Linked DNA regions of Sus scrofa. The main gene of each other region encodes a partner of the protein of the gene in region 2 in a complex. Links are inferred from orthologs where the notes say so. Each region holds a gene or a part of one and is shown on either strand. Other genes may lie near its edges.

Evidence for each region.
Region 1: KIAA1429 (region 2) and METTL3 share a complex: the UniProt entries of both Homo sapiens proteins name them as parts of the WMM complex. The link is inferred for Sus scrofa from reciprocal best matches to the Homo sapiens genes VIRMA and METTL3.
Region 3: KIAA1429 (region 2) and RBM15B share a complex: the UniProt entries of both Homo sapiens proteins name them as parts of the WMM complex. The link is inferred for Sus scrofa from reciprocal best matches to the Homo sapiens genes VIRMA and RBM15B.

Annotation. Positions count from the first base shown.
Region 1 is NC_010449.5:77,660,028-77,664,211, forward strand, and holds the start of METTL3 (N6-adenosine-methyltransferase 70 kDa subunit), read left to right. Parts: upstream 1-1,917; 5' UTR 1,918-2,145; coding exon 2,146-2,245; intron 2,246-4,184. UniProt on the Homo sapiens protein: The METTL3-METTL14 heterodimer forms a N6-methyltransferase complex that methylates adenosine residues at the N(6) position of some RNAs and regulates various processes such as the circadian clock, differentiation of embryonic and hematopoietic stem cells, cortical neurogenesis, response to DNA damage, differentiation of T-cells and primary miRNA processing.
Region 2 is NC_010446.5:42,200,061-42,204,144, forward strand, and holds part of KIAA1429 (protein virilizer homolog), read left to right. Parts: intron 1-704; coding exon 705-787; intron 788-3,837; coding exon 3,838-3,931; intron 3,932-4,074; coding exon 4,075-4,084. UniProt on the Homo sapiens protein: Associated component of the WMM complex, a complex that mediates N6-methyladenosine (m6A) methylation of RNAs, a modification that plays a role in the efficiency of mRNA splicing and RNA processing.
Region 3 is NC_010455.5:33,662,983-33,667,166, forward strand, and holds the start of RBM15B (putative RNA-binding protein 15B), read left to right. Parts: upstream 1-1,404; 5' UTR 1,405-1,489; coding exon 1,490-4,171; 3' UTR 4,172-4,184. UniProt on the Homo sapiens protein: RNA-binding protein that acts as a key regulator of N6-methyladenosine (m6A) methylation of RNAs, thereby regulating different processes, such as alternative splicing of mRNAs and X chromosome inactivation mediated by Xist RNA.

The DNA.
Region 1 (4,184 bases), on a different chromosome or scaffold from region 2:
TTTTTTGTGCCATTTCTTGGGCCGCTCCTGTGCCATATGGAGGTTCCCAGGCTAGGGGTCCAATCGGAGCTGTAGCCACCAGCCTACACCAGCAACGCAGGATCTGAGCCGCATCTGCAACCTACACCACAGCTCTTGGCAACGCCGGATCCTTAACCCACTGAGCAAGATCAGGGATCGAACCTCCAACCTCATGGTTCCTAGTTGGATTCGTTAACCACTGAGCCACGATGGGAACTCCGAAGAACTCTTGAAATTCTTTCCTATAGCTTCATCTACTGAAGTCCCTGCTGTCACTTCAATTGTGAAGCTTTATACCACATAATTTCCAATGTCTTTCCTGAATCACCTAGGTTTAGAATCTTCCCTTCTTTGCAATCACATTTGTTTTTTAAGCCTATGTTTATGCTGCCTTATGCTGTAAAGTTGGTTCAATATTAATAAATGGGTCCTAGCTCTTTTACATGACCAGAAACTCTGAAAACAAGGGGCAGGCCTTTTTAAGTTGTTCTGACAGTGTTTTGCATCTGGTTAGAACTGATAAATCAGTAGTTCCCGGAGTTCCCGTCGTGGCGCAGTGGTTAAGGAATCTGACTAGGAACCATGAGGTTGCGGGTTCGATCCCTGCCCTTGTTCAGTGTGTTAACGATCTAGCGTTGCCGTGAGCTGTGGTGTAGATTGCAGACGCGGCTCAGATCCCGCGTTGCTGTGGCTCTAGCGTAGGCCGGGGGTTGCAGCTCCAATTCGACCCCTAGCTTGGGAACCTCCATATGCCGCGGGAGCGGCCCAAAGAAATAGCAAAAAGACAAATAAATAAATAAATAAAAATTAAAAAAAAAAATCAGTAGTTCCCAAATGCTTCTGTTCAGAGGATGCAATGGGAACAAAGTTTGTAAGTTTACCACACACAGAAGTACACTTTGGCTCAGTTAATTTTCACAAAGAATGTATTTATGCAATCCCAGAATAAGAAACACAGCACAACCAGAACCTCAAGAAGCCCCTTAGTGCCGCTTCTGAGGATTCTATTTTGTTTGTTTTTGTTTGTTCTTTTGGCATGTGGAAGTCCCCTGGCCAGGGATCAAACCTGAGTCACAACAGCAACCAGAGTGGCTGCAGTGACAATGCAGGATCCTTAACCTGCTGTACCAGAAGTGAACTCCTGAGGACTCTGTTTTAATGTATCAGACATGACACTTGTAGATTTGATATAAGTAAGAATATGTATTTGTAGACTCCGTATATTATCTCTGTTCATCAGTCCTCCTCTGTCAAAGAAGCATACATAACAGCTATATTTTTGTAAACAAATGCATGGAAACATGAACCTACACCTTCAGTGGAAAAGGCATGTTAGTATCAAACTGTCAAAAGAAATCAGTGATCCTTCATTTAAAAATATCTGGGTGTTCCCCTTATGGCTCAGCATTAAAGAGCCTGACTAGAATCCATGAGGACTGGTGTACCATCCCTTGGCCTCCCTCAGTGTTGGGGTTAAGTATCCCATGTTGCTGTGAGCTGTTGGTGTAAGTCACAACACAGCTCGAGTTCCTGCATTGCTGCAGCTCTGATTTGACCTCTTGCCTGAGAACTTCCGCATGCTTCAGGTGAGGCCCTAAAAAAGCAAAAAAAAAAAAAAAAAATCTGTGAATTCACCTGGTGGCCTAATGGTTAAGGAATTAGTGTTGTCTGCTGTGGTTCGGGTTTGATCCCTGTCCGGGAACTTCCGCATGTCCGAGGCGAGGCTACACTCGCACCAGCACCCCTACCTTGGGTGCTTTAACAAGAGTCAACTATCAGGACGCATTTCCTAATAATCAACATGGCCGCATGCGCGGCTATAAGCAAGATGGCCGCTCTGCCAGGCACCAATATGGCAACCCCAGCTTCACCGCTTCCGGTAGCGCGAAAGACCGTCACTGAAAAACATATCCGCCACTCCGCTAACATTTAAGGTGGCTCCTCATTTCAGTTCCAAAGCGAGAGCGAAACGGGAAATGACTTTCTATCTGGCGCATCTCTCAGGACCTCCTTCCGGTTAGCCTTGGGGAGTACGCGTGAGAGTTGGAAATTTCGTGGAGCCAGTGCTGGGAGGTGCTAGTCGGCTACCCCTTGTTCGAGACGTGTCCCGGCTGTGGGACTAAAATGTCGGACACGTGGAGCTCTATCCAGGCCCACAAAAAGCAGCTGGACTCGCTGAGGGAAAGGCTGCGGCGGAGGCGGAAGCAGGACTCAGGGCACTTGGGTGAGGCGCTGGGCTGTTGGGCTGATGCTTACCCCGGGAGGGAGGGAGGGAACCCAGGAGGGAACCGTGGAGAAAAAGCTCCTGAGTCAGAGCCTTTGCCCAAATGGCCATTTCTTTAATGCTTCATAAGTTGGTACTCTTCTCTTCCCCTTCAGCCGTACAGACGCCTTGCCCTCTGGCAAGTAGTCGCGTTCCTTCCCACCCTGGCCCCTGGTCCCTCCGGTTCACCACTTTCCCGGGACGGAAGCTCCCATTCGTCCCCAACCCTGCCTCTCCACGTCTGGTTGACTCCTCTTGAAAGTCTCCTTTGCTAGGCCTTTCAGGCCCCTTCCCTCGAGCAGCAAGTCCCCTCTTTGGATTATTCCCATGGCTCTTTGTTCGTCCCTCGGTTATAGCAATTGCTTTGTAGTGGTTGTTTCTCTGAGACTGTGGGCAGTGTAAGAGCAAGTACGAATCTGTATACACAGGGACCATCTCATTGGCCCTCACAGAGCTGGCACAGGGTGTTGCTAAGTGAGTAGAGAAACTGGCATTGTCTTAGCCATTTACATATCAAACAATCTGGAAACATTTGTTTTTAAACTTTTTCACCCCTTCCGTTGCCCTCTGTGTCACAGTCATAAAACTTGAAGGAACCTCAAATGATTGTCTTGTCTTTTGCATTCCACATCCCCAGCACAAGCCTTGAATTAGCTAAAGCAAATCAATGGAAGATCTACAAGGATAATGAATCCATACCATTCTTGTAGCTTGTTTCTCTGTCAGTGTACTTGAGTCCATCTCTAAATCTTGTGTTGAAATACGTGAGGTCCACACATTCATTCTGATCTTTGGAAATGGAAAATGCCCTGGCAAGACTCTTACGCCATAATAAATAAACATCTATTGAGTATCTACAATGTACATGAGTCTAGTAAGACAAAAATAAGTAAAACAGTGTCCCTGCCCTCAAGGAATTTAAAATTTAGTTGGGAATAAAGGATTGGTACTTTTATTTATTTATTTTTTGGTCTTTGCCTTTTCTAGGGCTGCTTCCCTCGGCATATGGAGGTTCCCAGGCTAGGGATCCAATCAGAGCTGTAGCCACCAGCCTACACCAGAGCCACAGCAACGCAGGATCTGAGCCGCATCTGCAACCTACACCACAGCTCACGGCAACACCGGATCCTTAACCCACTGAGCAAGGCCAGGGATCGAACCTGCAACCTCATGGTTCCTAGTCGGATTCGTTAACCACTGTGCCACGACGGGAACTCCGGATTGGTACTTTTAAAAGAAAAAGTCAGAAATGCAGTATGATATATGTAAAATGCCAAATGAATGATTCCTCAATGAGTGAAGGAATAAGTAACAGGAGTCAGGTTTAGTCAGTGAGGGCATCGTGGAGGAATTGGCACTTGGACTTTGGTCTTGATGGCTATATAGGACTTAGATAATTAAAGAGAAAATAAAAGGGCAGGGTAAGTAGAGGAAGAAGTGCAAGTTATATGATAAGGATTAATTAGTAGAAGTTCCACTTCACTTTTCCATGGTATTAGCCACACTTTGGAATTAACCAAACATTGTGCCACATGCAGATTAAACCACTAGAGCCTGGATACTTCATCAAGGTCCTTGCTAAGCATTTTTAATAATTTTGATGACAAGATTTATTCTCCCTTGAATGTAAATATTCTTTTTTTGATATAAATAGCTCTTGACCTGTAAATCCACTTAATAATATAGTTAAGACTCCTATAAAATTATTATTATTATTATTATTATTATTATTATTATTATTTGGCCATACCCTTCTGGGCCAGAGATAGAATCTTGAGCTGCAACTGTGACCTGCAACACAGTTGGTGGCAACACCGGGTCCTTAACCCACTATGTTGGGCCAGGGAGGGCACCTGCTCCAGCAACAACCTGAGCCACTGCAGAGACACCACCAGATCCT
Region 2 (4,084 bases):
CCAGGCTAGGGGTTGAATTGGAGCTGTAGCCACCGGCCTACGCCAGAGCCACAGCAACATGGGATCCGAGCCGCGTCTGCAACCTACACCACAGCTCACGGCAACGCCGGATCGTTAACCCACTGAGCAAGGGCAGGGACCGAACCCGCAACCTTATGGTTCCTAGTCGGATTCGTTAACCACTGCGCCACGACGGGAACTCCTAGATCGTCTTCTTTAATCATGTTTTCAGAAACCAAATAACCAAGAGTGGTCACCTCTTATTTCTAAACCAGTATAGTAGGATGTTTTATATTTCATTTTTAAACCTGTTTGAAGAATGAAACGTGAAGTTCTGCAGTGACAGAGTGGGTTAAGAATCTGAATGAAGCAGCTCACGTCACTGCTGAGGTGCAGGTTCAATTCCCAGCCTGGTGTATTGGGTTAAAGGATCCATTGTTGCCGCAACTGCAGCAAAGGTTGCAGGTGTGGTTTGGATTCAGTCCCTGGCCTGGGAACATCCATGTGCTGTGGGTGTGGCCAATAAAATTAAAAAAAAAAAAAAAAAAGAATGAGGCATAAGTTCATCCATGTCTAAAATTTAGATTATTGAAATGAATATTGATCTGATAATGTTTTTCTCTGGAAAATGCCTTTGCTTCCTTTGTTATAAAGGCTTTTATTTTAAAATATTATATTGTGAACTTATTCTTTTTGTTTTTAAGAACTTGGCAAGTGGCTTGAACCTCTGAAAAACCTTAGATTTGAAATTAACTGCATCCCAAACCTAATTGAATATGTTAAACAGGTAAGTAAAACTTAAAAGTGCCTTGATTTTTGTAGAACTGTGTGGTAGTACATAGTAATATTGTATTAAGTCACCTGTATAGAAAATGCAGTTAAGGAGTTCCCTTGGTGGCTTAGCAGGTTAAGGATCCGGGGTTGTCACTGCTGTGGCTTGAGTTGTGGCTGTGGCGTGGGTTTGATCCTTGGTCCCAGAATTTCCAATGCCGATGGTGCAGCCAAAAAAAAAAAAAAAAAAAATAGGTAATGCATTTAAGTGCATTTGGTTGATTTAATAGTCTGGTGGGTACAGATTGGTACTGGATATAGATGGGTGTGTAATTGTATATATACATGAGCACAGATGCACATAATCGTACTGCTTTCTACTACCAGATTCCTATTTTTTTCCCTCTCAAATAGAAATAATATTATCTACTGTTTTGATACATTTGTGGAAGTGTTTTAAAGCTAAATGTTATGACAATGTAACATAATTGTTTTAATCTTGGTGAAAAATAATTTCCCTTGAAATTTTTAGATCAAGTTTGATAGTCAATTCCTGATAATTGCAGTGGGGGCTGTTTCTGTTTGTTAATTTGGGATGGTCAAATCTGCGATTGAGATAATTTATAGAAGTTGAAAATCATAAAGTTTATAATATTGCAGTTCAGAAATTCACTTATAATTCATAATGAAAAAGTTCATTGAAGTCATTGAATCATTAGCTTTAGAAGTTTAATGTTTTCTTTGCTCCTTATTTGATCCAATGTGTATCATAGGAAGAAGGGCCTCTAAAGGTGCTTATAGATACATAAAAAGTTTTAAATGAGGGGCAGAATGGACCTTGAATTATCTGCTTTTTCCTTTAACAGATGAGCTTTATGTATTGTATATATGTGTGCGTCTGTGTGTGTGTTTAAACCATTTTGGTCTTGGAGCTATAGTGTATGTGATTGGAGGAATGTGTATTATCTAATCTGTTGCTATTTTTACCCACCAACAAAAGGGCTGTTTGGATTTATCTGCTTCAGATTTCTCTTTTCTTAACTTGTCTGCCCATCTCTTTTTCCTCCATCTCACCTAAGAGTACTTTTGCCTCCTATAGTGCCATCATATTCTTCTGTTCTTTATGCCTCAAATGATATCTAGAGCTTTTCCTTATATTCAGTCTTTTATTTAGCAGAAGTACGTTTAGATGAACAGGTATTTAGGGTATTTGTGCATGGTGAGAATATATAAAATATACAATAAATATTAGATGGCTTAGATAAAAGTTCTAACCAATTAAAAAATTCAGTTCTAGAAATTTGAATTACATGCTGTAATTAAGAGTTTCAATTTTTTTTTTGTTTTTTTTTTTTTTTTTGGTTTTGTCTTTTTGCTATTTCTTGGGCTGCTCCCGCGGCATATGGAGGTTCCCAGGCTAGGGGTCTAATCGGAGCTGTAGCTGCCAGCCTATGCCAGAGCCACAGCAACTCGGGATCCGAGCCGTGTCTGCAACCTACACCACAGCTCATGGCAACGCCGGATCGTTAACCCACTGAGCAAGGGCAGGGACCGAACCCGCAACCTCATGGTTCCTAGTCGGATTCATTAACCACTGCGCCACGATGGGAACTCCTCAATTTTTATATAAATCCTTGTCTAATTAATTATGGTTATTACAAGTGACTTACATTCTAAGATGTACTAAAAACAAGTTGATCTAAGACTGAAATTCTCTCTGTGGCTCCATGCTGCCTTACATAATTTGTGGAATTATTGAAAGGCAGCAAGAAGAAATTAGAAGAAGAGATAACCAAAGGTGGGAAGCGTATGAAGGAAATAATTTTCTTATTTTTAGATTTCTCCTTTGAGTTTGAGAAGCTGAAATAGGAACTTTTGTTTTTGTCCTTTTGCCACACCCTTGGCATGTAGAAGTTCCTAGGCCAGGGATAGAACCCTTGCCACAGCAGTGACAATGCTGGATCCTTAACCAGCTAGGCCACCAGGGGCCTCCCTGAAATAGTAACTTTTTTCCCCTTCATTTCTTTTTTATTATTTTTTTTAATTATAGTTATTTACAATGTTGTGCCACTTTCAGCTGTACAACAAAGTGTGTATCAGTCATATATATATTTTTTTCTCGTACTATCTTCCATCATGTTGAAACAGTAACATTTTAAAATGCTATTTCTAAATTTTTGTAACCATCTATATGCTACTCCATGGAAACCACAAAAATAAAGGAACTTAAGCATAAGTATTTGTTACTTGGAGACATAGCATGGGCAGGTTCTGAGGATATAGGCAACTATACTTCTTTTTCCTTTAGCCATGCCCAAAATGGCCATCATAACTAGATTCCTTTGGTATCTGCATTTTTCGAAATTACGTTATATAGAGTTAAAACATTCCCTGATGCTTCCTCAGTTTTGAAAGAAATTTAGTACTCACAAGGCTTTGTAAAATCAAGTCATTGCTTCATTTTTGGGAAAGAGGATGTGTAGAAAGGGTATCTAAAAAGAAGCTATTTTAAATTCTTAACACACAAAGTTTCATAGATACCTGTATGCAACTTTGTTTTAGTCAATACTTTTTAATAAACTCACCTTTGTAGTTATTCATTTTATATACATAATATCATATATGGTACATATATGCCAAAGATCAGATAACCTTTATAAAGCTTATTAGCCTTCTTCATGTTTTAAATTTATTTAAGAAGTTTAACATGATGTGAATACTTGAAATTCTTTTTTTTTTTTTTAATGGCCACACCTGTGCCACATAGGAAGTTCCTGGGCTAAGGGTTGAATCCGAGCTGCAGCTACTGGCCACAGCCACAGTCACAGCAACGCCAGATCCGAGCTGCCTCTCCAACCTACACTGCAGCTCACATCAACACCACAGATCTTTTAAGCCACTGAGCAAGGCCAGGGATCAAACCCACATCCTCATGGATACCAGTTGGGTTCTTAACCCACTGAGCCACAATGAGAACTCCTAAAATTCATATTTTTAAATAATTGCCTTCTCTGGGTCTGTTAGGTACCAAGAAGTTAAATTTCCTGTTCATTTTTATTTTTAAAGAATATTGATAACTTGATGACCCCAGAAGGAGTTGGCCTTACCACTGCCTTACGTGTTCTCTGTAATGTGGCATGCCCACCACCCCCTGTTGAAGGTAATGTGGCTACTATACTTTAAAACTGCTAATTTTTAAACATAGTATTAATATCATTTATTAAATAAAACATTCAAAAATCTTAACCAGTGATTATTAACATGTAAGTAATTAAATTTTTTTTCTCCCTTATTTATATAAAGGTCAACAGAA
Region 3 (4,184 bases), on a different chromosome or scaffold from region 2:
CAGCCTGCTGTGGCATCCACTGATGCTTGTCAACAGCAGGACTGCATTTTCCGCCCTTGCAGCAACATGTCTGAGGAAAGCAAAAAGTTTGAGCCATTTCTCAGGCCAGGTCTTCCAGATTTAGACGAAGTAGATGAGCTGTTAAATCTAACAAGCATAGAGCATCCTGAGGCCCTGAAAGGTGCCAAGGAAGGTCCATGGCTGGAGCCAGAACTCCTACGAGGTGGAGCTGTCTCAGCACCCTAGGTCTGTGTTCCATATCCTCCAGACCACACCAAACGGAAAACAGGCCAATTAACTGCTACCCTCGGGCTGAGCTACAAGTGTCTCTGTCTAGGAAGGGGTTAACTCCTGGAAGCAGATTTCAGAAATGTTACAGGTGTTTCTTCGGAAACATTAACTCTTGGACCTGCCTCAGTTGCTCCGGGAGTTGCTTTCTCTGTGGGAGGAGGGAAGAACCGTGGTGCGTTTTGCTCACTCCATAGTTTCTGTGGCTGAAGTTGGGTCAGGTTCTGCGAACCCTCCAGCAACCCTGCAGAATGAACGCTTCCCCAAGGGGCTTGGATGCTGAGCAGGATTCTCCCTCCCCTCTCCTCGGGAACATATTCCCAGTCATCTCGCCATCTTGGAAGTGGATAGGAGGACGCTGGCCAGTGAAAGGTAAGCATGGCAAGCTGGGTAAGCCCTGGGTTTATTCTCCGCCATTGTTTCCGTGGCCCTGCCCTTACAGCTCTCTTTCTGCTCGAACGCTCAGGGCAGAGGGTGGGGCCCCATGGCACCAAGGAGCCTGGTGCCACTCGGGAAACCGCCGGCATGTCTCAGCTTTCCGTGCCTAGGGCTTCTGCATGCGTGGCCATGCTCCTCATATGGCCTTTCAGAGGCCTGCTGTAGGTGTGCCTGAACGCAGGGGATGCTCAAGATATGGGGCGTGGGTCCTAGGGGGCGGCATGCTTTGGTCCTCAGGGTTGTCCATCCCGGACGACGGTCAGGAGACTCGGGCGAGGTATGGGAGTCACGCAAACCTAGTCTTGGAATTGGGAATATCACGTAAAGAGGCCGCTACTCCCGCTTCCATCCGGCTACCCTGGCCGCCCAGCCCGGAGCCAGAGGCCTAGGTGCAGCAGTGCTCTCGACACGACTATGATTTCCATAGAACTCCGGCCACGCGGTGGCGCCAGAGCTCACTGCCTAGACAAGCTCGCTGGCTTGCAACGGGGATCACGTGGCACGGGGCGGCGCATCCCAATGACGCACACCCGGCGCAGCTCTTGCCCCGCCCGCCTCAGAGTCACGTGGTGCGGGCGGCGCAGCCAGATAACGCGACACCCGGCCCCTGGGCGCCGCTCCCGCCCCGCCCCGCCGCCACCGCCGCGCCGAGTCCTTTTGTCCAAGATGGCGGCGCCGGGGGCGCTGCCTCCTCGGCCGCCGCCGCCGCCGCCGCCGCTGTGAGAGGCCCGCGGGCCGCCCGCCCGCCCGCCGCGCCGGCGCCATGAAGAGGCAGAGCGAGCGAGACTCGAGCCCAGGCGGGCGCGGCTCGTCATCATCGGCCAAGCGACCGCGGGAGCGCGAACGGGAGGCAGAGGCGGGCGGGCGGCGGGCGGCGCACAAGGCCTCGGGCGGCACCAAGCACCCCGTTCCAACGCGGGCCCGCGAGAAACCCCGCGGTAGCGGGGGCGGCGGGGGTGGGCATCGCGACGGCCGCGGCGCCGGGGACGCGAATCATCGTGCGAGCAGCGGCCGCGCCTCGGGTTCGGGCGCCGGCGGCGGGGGACGCGGCGGCAAGGCCTCGGGGGATCCGGGCGCTTCAGGCGCTTCGCCCCGCGCGTCTCCGCTGCCGCCACCTCCCCCGCCGCCCGGGTCCGAGCCCGCGGGTCCCGGCTCTTCCGCGGCCGCACCCGAGTATAAGACGCTGCTCATCAGCAGCTTGAGTCCCGCGCTGCCCGCCGAGCATCTCGAGGACCGGCTCTTCCACCAGTTCAAGCGCTTCGGCGAGATCAGCCTGCGCTTGTCGCACACGCCTGAGCTGGGCCGCGTGGCCTACGTGAACTTCCGGCACCCACAGGACGCACGCGAGGCCCGACAGCACGCCCTGGCCCGCCAGCTGCTGCTCTACGACCGTCCGCTCAAGGTGGAACCCGTGTACCTGCGCGGCGGCGGCGGCGGCGGCGGGAGCAGCCGAAGAAGCAGCAGCAGTAGCGCCGCCGCCTCCACACCGCCCCCGGGGCCGCCCGCGCCGGCCGATCCACTCGGCTACCTCCCGCTGCACGGCGGCTACCAGTACAAGCAGCGTTCGCTGTCACCGGTTGCTGCCCCGCCACTGCGAGAGCCCCGCGCCCGCCACGCCGCCGCAGCCTTTGCCCTGGATGCTGCCGCCGCCGCCGCCGTAGGACTATCCCGGGAGCGGGCCCTGGACTACTACGGGTTGTATGACGACCGCGGACGCCCCTACGGCTACCCGGCCGTGTGCGAGGAGGACCTGATGCCTGAGGACGACCAGCGGGCCACGCGAAACCTCTTCATCGGTAACCTGGACCACAGCGTGTCAGAGGTGGAGCTGAGACGGGCTTTCGAAAAGTATGGCATCATTGAGGAGGTGGTCATCAAGAGACCCGCCCGTGGTCAGGGCGGTGCGTATGCCTTTCTCAAGTTCCAGAACCTGGATATGGCCCATAGAGCTAAGGTGGCCATGTCAGGTCGGGTGATCGGCCGCAACCCCATTAAGATAGGCTACGGCAAGGCGAACCCCACTACTCGCCTCTGGGTGGGTGGCCTGGGACCCAACACCTCACTGGCGGCTCTGGCCCGGGAGTTTGACCGCTTTGGGAGCATACGGACCATTGATCACGTCAAAGGAGATAGCTTTGCTTACATCCAGTACGAGAGCTTGGACGCAGCGCAGGCCGCCTGTGCTAAAATGAGGGGCTTTCCCTTGGGTGGTCCAGACCGCAGGCTGCGGGTGGATTTTGCCAAAGCAGAGGAGACTCGGTATCCCCAGCAGTACCAGCCCTCACCCCTCCCTGTGCATTACGAACTTCTCCCTGATGGATATACCCGTCATCGAAACCTGGATGCCGACCTGCGGGTGCGGGATAGGACCCCCCCACACCTCCTGTACTCGGACCGAGACCGGACCTTCTTGGAAGGGGACTGGACCAGCCCCAGTAAAAGTTCTGACCGCCGGAACAGCCTGGAAGGGTACAGCCGCTCAGTGCGCAGCCGGAGTGGCGAACGCTGGGGAGGAGATGGTGACCGGGGCCTGCCCAAGCCCTGGGAGGAGAGGCGGAAACGGAGAAGCCTTTCCAGTGATCGAGGGAGGACCACCCACTCCCCTTATGAGGAACGGAGCAGGACCAAGGGTGGTGGGCAGCAGGCTGACCGAGGCTCTGACCGTACCCCTGAGCGCAGCCGCAAGGAAAATCACTCCAGTGAAGGGACCAAGGAATTGAGCGGCAACTCCCTCAGCAACAGCAGACATGGGGCTGAGGAGCGGAGCCACCACCACCACCATGAGGCTCCAGACTCTTCCCACGGGAAGAAGACACGAGAGAGCGAGCGCAATCATCGGACCACTGAGGCTGAAACCAAGCCTCTGGAAGAGCCAAAACATGAGACCAAAAAGCTCAAGAATCTTTCAGAGTATGCCCAGACACTGCAGCTGGGTTGGAATGGGCTTCTAGTGTTGAAAAACAGCTGCTTCCCGACATCTATGCACATCCTAGAGGGGGACCAGGGGGTTATCAGCGGTCTCCTCAAAGACCACACTTCTGGGAGTAAGCTGACCCAGCTGAAGATTGCCCAGCGCCTTCGACTGGACCAGCCCAAGCTCGATGAGGTCACACGACGCATCAAGCAGGGGAGCCCCAATGGCTACGCAGTGCTCCTAGCCACCCAGGCGACCCCCAGTGGGCCTGGCACTGAGGGGATGCCCACAGTGGAGCCAGGCCTACAGAGGCGGCTTCTCAGGAACCTGGTCTCCTACTTGAAACAGAAGCAGGCTGCAGGGGTGATCAGCCTGCCAGTAGGTGGGTCCAAAGGCAGAGACAGCACAGGCATGCTCTATGCCTTCCCGCCTTGCGACTTTTCACAGCAGTACCTCCAGTCAGCACTGAGGACATTGGGCAAGCTAGAAGAAGAACACATGGTGATAGTTATAGTAAGAGACACAGCCTAGCCCAAACCTGTCT